3 linked regions of the Nothobranchius furzeri genome follow. The protein of the gene in region 3 purifies or fractionates together with the protein of the main gene of each other region. This does not show direct contact. Links are inferred from orthologs where the notes say so. Each region holds a gene or a part of one and is shown on either strand. Other genes may lie near its edges.

Region 1 (3,755 bases), on a different chromosome or scaffold from region 3:
GTTCCGCAGAGGACGACAGGCAGCAGGCAGCCTGACGGTGGCGGAGGTCCAGACACAAAGAGTGGGTAAGTTTCACGAGCGAGATGAATGGTTCCGTTCAAGCGTTTAGTTCGGCATTGTGAAAATCTGCGCTGATTCCCAACATGTTTGCGTTCCCAGCTGATGTTGATGCGCGGCGACAGAAACGAGAAAAAGAAAAACAAAACGCTCGAGGTCGAGTCAGCAGCAGCACGGGGGGAAGGGCTGCGTCTATGTGCTGGAGCGGTCCTCTTTTTCTCATTCTTGCTTCAAACCTTTAATTGTTACATTTATATGTGTCTTAATGCCAAAGGCAGCGGTTCACAACGAGAGCTGACAACACAGCCGTCGTCTAATTTCACGTTATTATTGTTTTATCCACAAAGACTTGAGGCCCGAGTCTTCGTTACCAGTTAAGTTTTTTATGAAGCGGGGAGGACTAATGCTGGATTACTGATAGTGCTCACGAAGAAAGGTGATTTGAAGAAACATATGGCGTGTATATACCATCAGACACGTTTTAATTTATAGCTTACGATACAAAATTACCATATTTAATGTTAACCACGAGCTAGCTAAGGCTAAAGACTGTTAACCGTAGCGGAAAGCGTTACCTAACGAAAAAAAAAACAGAAGGCGAATCGCTGTGAAATCTCGCGAGAATCCTATCTCATGTCTGCAACATGAGATCAAAACAAACAAGCTAGCTAACTGATGTGTAATGTTTTGTGTTTGCACCATGGTTTGCACATGATCACATCCTGGATTTAATTTATTCTTTCGGATGTAAATGTTTTCAATATCTTAATTTTTTCTAATTTTATTCAGACTTATATATATATATATATATATATATATATATATATATATATATATATATATATATATATATATATATATATATATATATATATATATATATTGCTGCTAGGCTATATCAAGGAAAGGTGGTGCATAAATGTTTAGAAAATTAACATTTTCAAATAAATAATTTCCACAAAAACCTTTTAAAAAATAAGACTGTTTTCCCCATTATTAAGCACTTGGTTTGTTCATTTTTATTCCAGCTTGTTTTGTTAATCCTGATAAAAACCAGATGTTTTGTTTTTGTCAACACTACACATTTGAAAATGTGTTCAGAAACATAAACCTCCCAAAAGGAAAATACTATTACCTACCTTTATTCACAAGTGCTCCACATTTTTGGGTTACTTTCACTTTTCAGATTTCCTCCCATTTCTCCTCAGGTTGCGGCTCTTCTCCAATCCTAACCGGTATGTCGGATGAGGATTCCCGTGCCAGCACCAGCTCATCCTCATCACCACCTTCCTCCAGCCAAAACAGACACAAGGATACAGCTTTCAAGAAGAAACGGGAGAACAAAACCAGCATGAGCAAGACCTCCAAGCTGCTTTCCACCAGCGCCAAAAGGTTAAAAGAAATCTGTCATACAGCAATGGGCAGATTATTGTTGCTCATTAGATTCATGTCTGTTTAAAACCCCTTAAGACAACAATGTTGTTTACATATAAATATGTAACTTTTAGTAGCTGCTGATGGCAGGATAAGCTCAGAAACATGAGTAAACGACAGTAGAATTTGTTTTCATGACTTCCCCTTGTGTATTTATTTAACAGTGAAAAAAACACATTGATGGTCAAAGAGGAACTAGTTTAATTTGTGCTTAGGCGGTTGCTTCTATAAGCCAGAGTAGTGTTGTAAACCATGTTTTTAAGGAAGTACCAGTTTCTTCTTCAGTAAAAAAAAAAAAAAAAAAAATCTTCACAGTTTCAGTCTCATTCAACATTCTTTTCTACAAAAACAGTCAAACAGCATTAAGGTGTGTAAGTTAGTTTTCTGATGCCATGTTAACTAGATCATATTTATTTTTAATCACTTTGTTTGATTCTGAGTAATTCCACCTCTGATCCTTCCATCAGTAATTGATTTTTGTAACATTTGCAGAATTCAAAAAGAGCTGGCTGAAATTACCCTGGACCCTCCGCCAAACTGCAGGTGAGTTTACGGTTTTATGGTTCTTTATGTACTCACCAGCACGACAGATCAGAGTTTTGTCCTGATATTGGCTGATCCAAACTTCCTAAATGTTGAAACAGGTAAAATCATTATTATAGGTCAGTTCACAGTTCCAATACCCACACTGCACCCTGTGTCTTCTGTGAAGTGCGCTTAGAGGAAGTGTGCAGTAAGGCTCTGTGTGCTGAATTGGGACAGTGGCCGTTGCATCATCGACCACTGTGCATGCAGGGATGCCGGTTGCTGTTTGTGCTACTTTTTAAAAAAGCTTTATTAACAATTTTTAAACAGTTGACACAATTTACATTCATTGCTGTTCACATTAAATTTTAATCTTAAACATTCAGTAATGATATTTATTCATATAAATATCATTAGTCGTCTTAAAATGAACTTCTTTTGTTTGAAAATACATATTTTCAAATAAGGCACTTGAGCCATTGTTCAGTCTTTTCAAAATGCCTTCACAGCAATGGGTTGTGGGTAATACCCTTTGCCCAAGTCCGCATCAAGTGTGCAAAAGGGGTGTGGTCAATTTCCGCACTTGAGGATTGGTACACCTTGTGCCCCTGGACAGGAATGCGCAATTGAAGGGCACAAGGGTGGAAGTGTGAGTATTGGTATTGAGCCTAACACAACAACACTGGTTGACTCCTGGTTTCACAAGAACATGTGTCTAGAATGAGGAGGCGGGGCCAAGCTGGTGAGGCTGTGTTGGGATATTCCACGTCCTACTGATTGTCCCTCACAGGGGCCAGTATTACCGTGTTTTCACTACAGGAGTTCAGGGACACTTCTGGGAGAGGGAAAATTCTATAGCTCTGTCCTATCAGCTGTTTCTCCAACCAATCAGCAGAACGTAACAACAAGTCCCGTCCAGCGGCACTACCGGGCCTTTTCCTCGTACTTGCTCCAATTCAGGTTCTAGGTTGGTTCCTGAAAAGCTCTCAAAAGTGGCCCTATTGAGTCGGCCTGGTGAACGTAACGAAGGTCCAGCAAAATGACCCAGATGTTCCAAAAAAATGAAATGGGCCTTCTGTGTTGCTTTTTCCTGAGTACCGTGGGAGAGTTGAATCCAGTGAAGAACTGAATTCCAACAGCAGAATAAAGCAGGTTTAGATGGCACCACCTACAGTAAAGGTAACTAATCAGGCTTCCCACTGTTATCAGATCTATTACCATGAAGCTTCGTTGCAATAAACAAAATTATGTGTTGTCTCAGTTTGAGTTACAAATAGTTTCTTTTTCCTGAATGGAAATGTCAAATACCAAAACATTCAGTTTAAATAAGCAGCTGTTCTTCCAAGAGGAACTAAAATATTAAAACAAATGCGTTTTCATCTGAAGATCTGTATTTACAGCTGTAACTGAAAGTTGAACTTATTTAAAAAAAAAAGCTTCCTTCCTGGTACTGAAACCAAATTTATACTTCTCCGTCAGCTCCACCAGGGAGAGAGACGCACGAATGGAGACGTTTTGCCCCCATACTTCTCCGTCTCCTGGGGAGTGTTACAAAGCAATTCCCCACCAGGACAATAGAGGGCGTAGCACTGTTCCGTGTTATCCGGTCCAAGATGGTGTTTATATTGTGTTTTTTGCATTTAAGAATGGCCAAAACACACACACAAATGCCCTGGGGCCTCATTTATCAAGCTTGCTTACGCACAAAACTGGGTTGGAAAACTGTGTAAGCAACTTTC
Region 2 (3,682 bases), on a different chromosome or scaffold from region 3:
TCGTCCCACAAAGTTAAAAACAAACAACAGTTAGTCAATTCATGAAATCATCTTTTGTTTCTACTTCCCGGGTTTCTTCTTTGTCGTCTTTTCTCCGACTTGCGCAGCCGCATGTGGGTGATTTAGCGCCCCCTAGAGTACTTCTTGTCCGTTGAGCTTCTTGTTCCCATTGGCCCGTTTTTACCACGTGATCAACATGAAGGGGGACACCACCCACAGCGCCAAAATTCAAAAACGGTTTCTGACTTGACACGTAAACAACCTGTAATAAAGGCTTGGTAGCTGTCACATATCTTTTATCAAAAATGTAATACGAGCGAAGTGCTCCACAACATCAGCGTTGGAGTTCAAACCAGCGGAGCCGTCTGAAACAAGAAATATGAAGGTCTGGCTTTATTTAGTAGCTTTGCTGTTAGCAATCAGAAGCTACCACCAGCAGCAGTGGTAGCATCGGGCTTTTAAGCTGAAAACCCATTTTCTTAGATGAGACATGGTGTTGTTAGGGCCCAATTTAAGCTTCAAACGTGTCATTGTGTCATAACCTGAAATACTATTTACAACGTATACAACGGTTAGCCATGTCATTGTGAATAAACGTTAAATTATACTTCCGGTGTGAATTTAACGCCTGAATTCTCCAGTTGCCAAGGAATAAAACCTCGGATAACCACTGAGCCGTAACACGGATACGTTAGTCGGAACTTTTTGTCTTAATAGCGTAACCCACAGCGTGTTTTAATATAACATGAATTAATCGTGTGCTTTAATATTAATAGATACGTAGACACGTAAAATAACAACTTAACTTTCCACCGGTGATTTGCGTTACAACGGTTTTCTGATATGATGCAAGCAAGGTAAAGAAAAAAAAATGTGTTCCTAAAATATTCTTTATTTTTTATTTTTATATATATATATTTTTTTTATTTTTCCCACAGCTTACCAGTGAATTTGGATGGACGTTTCAATGATTTGACCATGAGAAGGAGTCCGAGGAGACCCCTTATCCTGAAAAGAAGAAAACTACCTTTTCAGCAAAATGAAGCAGCTGACGCACGCTCTCCATCTGCTGCTTCAAGCTCCAAAGAATCCTCAAAACCAGCTGCCAGTCAGTGCCTCCTAGATGGTGTCCACATCATGGGTCATTCATCCATGTCTGACACTCAGGTGGTTTTCATCCCCAAAGACGTGGATCTTCAGGTTGTTATTGATGCCATTACTGCAAAAAGTAAAGAGTGTGGTGACCAGGGTCCAAGCAAGTTCATCCTTCTGAGTGAGAGTGGAAGCCGGGACAATGGATCTTCTTGTCAAGAATTTGCCAGAGAAGAATCTGTTCCTACGAGGAGTCCAGTTGGACAATCTGTAAGCTCGGAAGCCACATTCAACACTGAAGCTGATCATCAATCTGGCTGTAAATACGGTATGACAGTTTATGCTGTCTCTGATATCTCACCATCCCATATCATTGTCCATTTAAGCACTCTTCTCTTTCATCAGTGATTAAAGAAGCGAGTTGCAGCCCGTTAGACGACAGCCTCACAAACATCCAGTGGCTGGGCAAGATGGACTCCTGTGCCCTAGAGCCGGATTCTGAAGAACAGACGACAGACAAATCGATTCCAACATCCCAGAATTTACAGGTCAGTCTTGCTTCTTTTTGTGTGATGCAGATGGCCTACTGAGTTCTGACAGGACTCCCGAGTGTCCCCTAAAACCACAGACGAACTACTGACTGATTTACAGGCTTATTTGGTTGCTACAATTAGAATGGAGGTTAAATATGATTTTTTTAATTAGATAGTTGGATTTGAAATTAAATATTTTAGTATTTCTCAGTAAAAATTCATCACTCTGGGCTACAGTTGGAGCAGCTTCAGACCCATCTCTAAACTTCCGTTCATCTCCAAGATCTTGGAAAAGGTTGTGGCTAAACAACTCACAGCTGCTCTTGATGAACATAACATCTATGATAGCTTCCAGTCAGGTTTTCGTAGAGCTCATTCTACTGAAACAGCACTTCTTAGGGTCTCTAATGACCTTCTGACTCACAGCGATGCAGGGGACTGTTCTGTTCTGGTCCTGCTGGACCTGACTGCAGCCTTTGACACTGTTGACCATCACCTGCTACTGGAGAGGCTGAGAGACTGGGTAGGCCTATCAGGAACTGCTCTGGAGTGGTTCTCTTATCTCTCTGAGCGCTCCTTTTCTGTGGTCGTCTCCAAGTTTAGGTCCTCCACCACCTCCCTTACCCATGGTGTCCCACAAGGTTCTGTGCTGGGGCCTCTGCTCTTCCTCCTCTATCTGCTTCCTCTTCAGCACATCCTGAGCTCCTTCAAAGGAATCTCCTACCATCTTTATGCAGATGACATCCAACTGTACATCTCCTTTAAGCCCCATGAGATGTCTAAGCTGCAGCTGTTACACACCTGCTTAGACTCTATCAAACCTGGATGGCTGGGAGCTTTCTACAGCTGAATGAAGATAAGACTGAGATCCTCATCTGTGCCCCAGACAAGCTGGTTCCCAAAGTCAGAGACTCTCTTGGTCAGCTTACTTCTCACACCAAACCTTCCGTCAGGAATCTTGGCGTGACCTTTGACCCAGCTCTCACCCTGGATTCTCATGTCAGTTCTCTTGTTCGCTCTTCCTTCTTCCATCTCAGGAACATTGCTAAGCTGAGTCCCATTCTGTCCCGCTCTGAACTTGAGACTGTGCTCCACACCTTCATCTCCTCACGCTTAGACTACTGTAACTCTCTTTTCACGTGTCTGAGCAGAACCTCCCTGAACCGTCTACAGGTGGTTCAGAACGCCTGTGCTCGGCTTCTGACCAAGTCCTCCAAACACACCCACATCACCCCGCTTCTCCTCCAGCTTCACTGGCTGCCAGTCAACTTCAGGGTTCATTTCAAGATCCTGGTTCTGGTCTATAGGGCCTTACATGGACAAGCACCATCTTACATTGGTGATCTTCTTAGTCCCTACACCCCCAGCAGGTCCCTGAGGTCCAGTGATCAAAGCCTACTGGTTGTGCAGCACCAGGCTAAAGGTCAAAGGTGACAGATCATCTGCTGCTGTGGCCCCCAGACTCTGGACCTCTCTCCCCCTGAGCCTGAGATCAGTGGACTCAGGGGTCTCCTTTAAAAAGCAGCTGAAGACTCACCTGTTCAAGCTGGCTTTTGTATGACCTTCTTCACCTCTCTCTCTTTATTCTGCTCTCCTCACCTATTCCACCTTCCTCAGGATCCACTGATTTCCCTCTTTCCTGTTCACTCTCTCTCTTTCTTAACATTTTTTTAATCACAATTGTCTATTTTTGCTCATTTTAATATATTTTTAAACATCTTCTAAATGCTTTTTTCTATTTTTACATTTTTTGTTTTTGTGAAGCGCCTCGTGATTTTTATCTTGAGAGGCGCTGTAGAAATGATACTTTCTTCTTCTTCAGTTGGATAAAATATCCTCTATGATTGTTGCACATATAGATGATTCTCTTTGTGTTTTTTCTGTGACTATTTGCAGCCACATGGTCCATACGCCAGTGCAGAAGCTGTCCAGGGTACCGAAGCAGAGAGACCTCCATACTCCTACATGGCCATGATTCAGTTTGCCATCAACAGCAAGAAGGACAGGAGGATGACGCTGAAGGAAATCTATGCATGGATCGAGGACAATTTTCCCTA
Region 3 (3,755 bases):
TAATCAGCACACTCAGTGATTAACAGCAGCAGTGATGAAATGACACCAGTACTTTTTATGGCAGGTTGGTCTTCCTGAGGGCCCTCAGGAAGTATAGCCGTTTTTGTGCCTTCTTTATCAGACAGTTGGTGTTGTGTGTCCATGTGAGGTCCTCTGATTTGTTTGTGCCCAGGAACATGAACTGTGAGATCCTCTTCACACACTCTCCATTTATTGTGAGTCACTGGTGCTCCACCTTTTTTCCGTCTTGGGTCAATGATGCTTTCTTTGGTTATGTTGGTGTTCAGGGTCAGGTTGTTAGCTGTACACCAGTCCTCCAGCTGCTGCACTTCTTCCCTGCATGCTGACTCATTTCCATGGCTGTGTGTGTAGATGAGTGAGGACATTAATAAGGATGTTTCATGTCTCGTACAACTTCTGCTCCTGTTGGGGAAGTTTCACATACATAAAAGGCAATGGTAAATTTCACAAAGAACTAATTACATACATCACTACAATTAGTACTCTTGAAAATAAAAAAAGCTATTAAAACTATGTGCATTATGGACAAACTTAATATGACATTTGATTAATATGCTCTCTGGTTTTTTGTATTCTTTTTGTCATTCTTTCTGTGTTATTCTTGTGTTTTACCATAATTTTATAGATACTTTGTATCTTGTTCCATGTTTAGCTTGTATTGAAATATCTTGAACATTAATTTTTTTTTAAAATAATAATAAAATTAAAAAACTGGGTAATTGATTCAATTGCACAATTTCACAGATAATTTATATATTTTTCTCAGATATTTTCTGTTGGGTTGAAGGAGAATGGCAAAACAAAACCCGACCAGAAAGGCTACAATAACGGATAAAGCATCTTTGGTCATAGGGGACGTGCTCTTGGCTGACTTCTACTCTTAAGTCTTAAAACATGATTTTTAAACAATGTTTGTGCATCATAATACAGAGAAACATAAACCTTTCCATTTGTACTTTATTTAATATGAAAAACCTTGTGGTAAACCTGTGGGACGCAAAGAACACCAAATTCAGAGAATCACCCTTTTGTATATTTCAAACAATCATTTTTCAGGCAACACTTTACCAACTTTAACAACAATAACGGTCTTTCTGCTTTATTCACGAAAACCGACGCCCTCGTTGCTTTACTCGACTGTTGATCGAATAATTGGATTTTATTTGTTGTGTTTTCCGCTCGGAAGTGTGTAACGTCTGAGGTCACGAGGGAGGAGGAAGCAGATCTGCACAGCTAAGATGGCGGAGGAACAGCAGGAATCATCACAGGGAGAGGTGGAAGGTAACGAAATGATTTGAACCATCCAATATTCTCTCACCTGCGCTGTCATTTCCCTGTCAGGTGAAGCCCACGTTTATGTTAGTCCGCAGCCCGCTTTAATCCACCCCTCTCCGAGTTTAAGGTGGCTGACATTCCACCTTAAGGGCCAGAACTGCTTAGCTAACGCTAGCAAGCAGCCGCTGCAACACAAAGAAAAACGACGGTTGTTAAGTGATTAACAGAGAAATAAAACATGACAGTTACGCGGTTTTATACTTAAATTAATATCAGATGTATGAGCTCAGTGTTAAGGCAGAATATATAAGCTTAATTTATCTTTGGAGAACAGTGACGTTTTTTTGCGTTCAAAATACGTTTTGTTTTCGATGCTAGCCAAGATTAGCTGCGGTGTTCTGGACTGGATCAACTTGTATTCATGTTCTTTCATGGTCACTGGGGTAGAAGAATTTCTCAATCTAAGAAAATGAAGTTCTTAATTCCCCCTTTCATTGCTTCATTAACTCAGCTATCGGTTTTCAGAGAATTTGTTCCAGAATGACGAAACTATGCGTCGTTTCAAACATCAGATTCATTGTCGTGTGTACCAGAGACAATGTCACATATTACAATTGATTTAACATGTCGTGCATTGTCCTGATACCTGAGACATGGTCTGTGTGGACTCATGAAAGTGACAGAGTTGTAGTCGAGTGTAAAACTTTATAAAACAGAACACAATAAAATTGGATGTTATACCAATTTAATGAATCAGGTGCAACTTTGTGTCTCTAACTGAATAATCATTAATCAGCATTAGTTAAAAAAGACTGTGTGCATTGCGGGTTCAGATTCATTTATAATAAAAGTAACTTAGTGATAGGATAATATATTGGGTCAATATTTACAATTTTTTTATATTAGCTTTGGCCGATAAATTTCTTCAGTAGAGCCGATTTAATTTAATTAATTATATATATATATATATATATATATATATATATATATATATATATCACACAGTTTATAAAACTACAAGAAGCACCATCACACAAGTTGTCCAGAGACACTACAATATAAAAATACACACTGTTGTATGATATTGGAGTTTGCTTTAGTTCATTTGTAGTTTATAATACATTTGGTCCCTTTGTGAAGTTTGTTACTGTTATGGCAGCGAGACCACGTTAGAATGAACCCAGTCCTGAAATAGTTGCACGGTCAAATGTTAAGGGGAAATCTTCTGGTTCTGTAACCAGTTTAAACCTGTCTAACCTTTTCATCAAACACAAATTTTAATATTTTTTTTAGTTTAACAAGTTTAGTAACACTGAAAGGGTTTGTTTCTCTTTATTATTACACATATTTGATCTGTTGTGCAAACCCAGTCAGTTGGTTCCTATAAAACATTTTTTAAATAGAAACTTACATTAAAGGGGCATTATGGAAGTGTGACAGTCAAAACATGTATAGAAATAATAAATGTCTTCTTCATACATTCTCCTGCAATGCCCTGGTCCTGTAGAATGAGCCCTGGCATTTTTACTGTGATTGCCTGTTTTTCTGTAAAATCACAGAAAAAGAGAGATGCTCGGGTCGAGCAGGCTGCTTCATGCGCGTTCACGCTCAGGCATCGCCCTCCGAACCGTTCTTTGAACGTTGTTTCAGCTGTCATCAAGGATATAAATGTTACAGACGCAGTAGACACCACTGGCGATTTAGCTCGCCTAGCAAATTTTTGGACTTTTGTGCAGAAGACCCGGTTCGATTCTCGACGTGAACATGGTTGTTTCAGAATTTCGTTTTTACAATGATATATTTTTTTACAGTAAAATGCCCAAATTTTTATCTGAGACTCGCCGAACGGCATTGAATTCACAGATGAAAAAAGATGTGGGTTCAACTTTCATTTTGGAACAATTTTTCAAGTAAAGGAATGGAATGATCTGAGCATGCAGGAGGACTGACCTTTGTTGGCTGTGCTGAAGAGAAAAGTACAGAACCAAATTATTTAATTAATTAGCTGCACGTTCTCCTGTCCTCCGACACACACACACACACACACACACACACAGCTTCACAGAGCTTCGTCTCAGCTGTTATTTTCGTTAAGGAGTGTGCACGTACAGCATGCGCACCTCGTACACGAGCCTACTATTGAAGCTGCCATTACGCTTTTGGCCAGAGGGGGCAATCACGAGCATAAAAATTCAAAACTCCCTAAAGTCCCTTTAACTACAAATATCCACAACAAACAAGTAAAGCATGGCTAACTGTTACCTTCTTGTGTTTAATAACAACAAAATGAATAAATCATGGTTTTGATGTTACAGGGGTGAAATGTGTCATCCACATCCCATAAGAAATGTCTTTGTTTCACCAATACAGAGCGGTTATTTAAAACCTTACACATATGTGTTTTTCCCAGGAGTGAACTGCCTTGCATATGATGAGGCCATCATTGCTCAACAGGACAG

The links.
Region 1: the proteins of otub1b (region 3) and ubiquitin-conjugating enzyme E2 E1 purify together in Homo sapiens (affinity purification with mass spectrometry; 4 studies listed by BioGRID and IntAct, with this or other methods). This does not show direct contact. The link is inferred for Nothobranchius furzeri from reciprocal best matches to the Homo sapiens genes OTUB1 and UBE2E1.
Region 2: the proteins of otub1b (region 3) and foxm1 purify together in Homo sapiens (affinity purification with western blotting; 4 studies listed by BioGRID, with this or other methods). This does not show direct contact. The link is inferred for Nothobranchius furzeri from reciprocal best matches to the Homo sapiens genes OTUB1 and FOXM1.

The regions. Positions count from the first base shown.
Region 1 is NC_091745.1:63,675,573-63,679,327, forward strand, and holds the start of ubiquitin-conjugating enzyme E2 E1, read left to right. Parts: upstream 1-1,294; coding exon 1,295-1,449; intron 1,450-1,983; coding exon 1,984-2,034; intron 2,035-3,755. UniProt on the Homo sapiens protein: Accepts ubiquitin from the E1 complex and catalyzes its covalent attachment to other proteins. Catalyzes the covalent attachment of ISG15 to other proteins. Mediates the selective degradation of short-lived and abnormal proteins.
Region 2 is NC_091741.1:41,405,727-41,409,408, reverse strand, and holds the start of foxm1 (forkhead box protein M1), read left to right. Parts: upstream 1-728; 5' UTR 729-843; coding exon 844-857; intron 858-938; coding exon 939-1,420; intron 1,421-1,497; coding exon 1,498-1,640; intron 1,641-3,521; coding exon 3,522-3,682. UniProt on the Homo sapiens protein: Transcription factor regulating the expression of cell cycle genes essential for DNA replication and mitosis. Plays a role in the control of cell proliferation. Also plays a role in DNA break repair, participating in the DNA damage checkpoint response.
Region 3 is NC_091743.1:88,838,117-88,841,871, reverse strand, and holds the start of otub1b (ubiquitin thioesterase OTUB1b), read left to right. Parts: upstream 1-1,030; 5' UTR 1,031-1,259; coding exon 1,260-1,302; intron 1,303-3,706; coding exon 3,707-3,755. UniProt on the Homo sapiens protein: Hydrolase that can specifically remove 'Lys-48'-linked conjugated ubiquitin from proteins and plays an important regulatory role at the level of protein turnover by preventing degradation.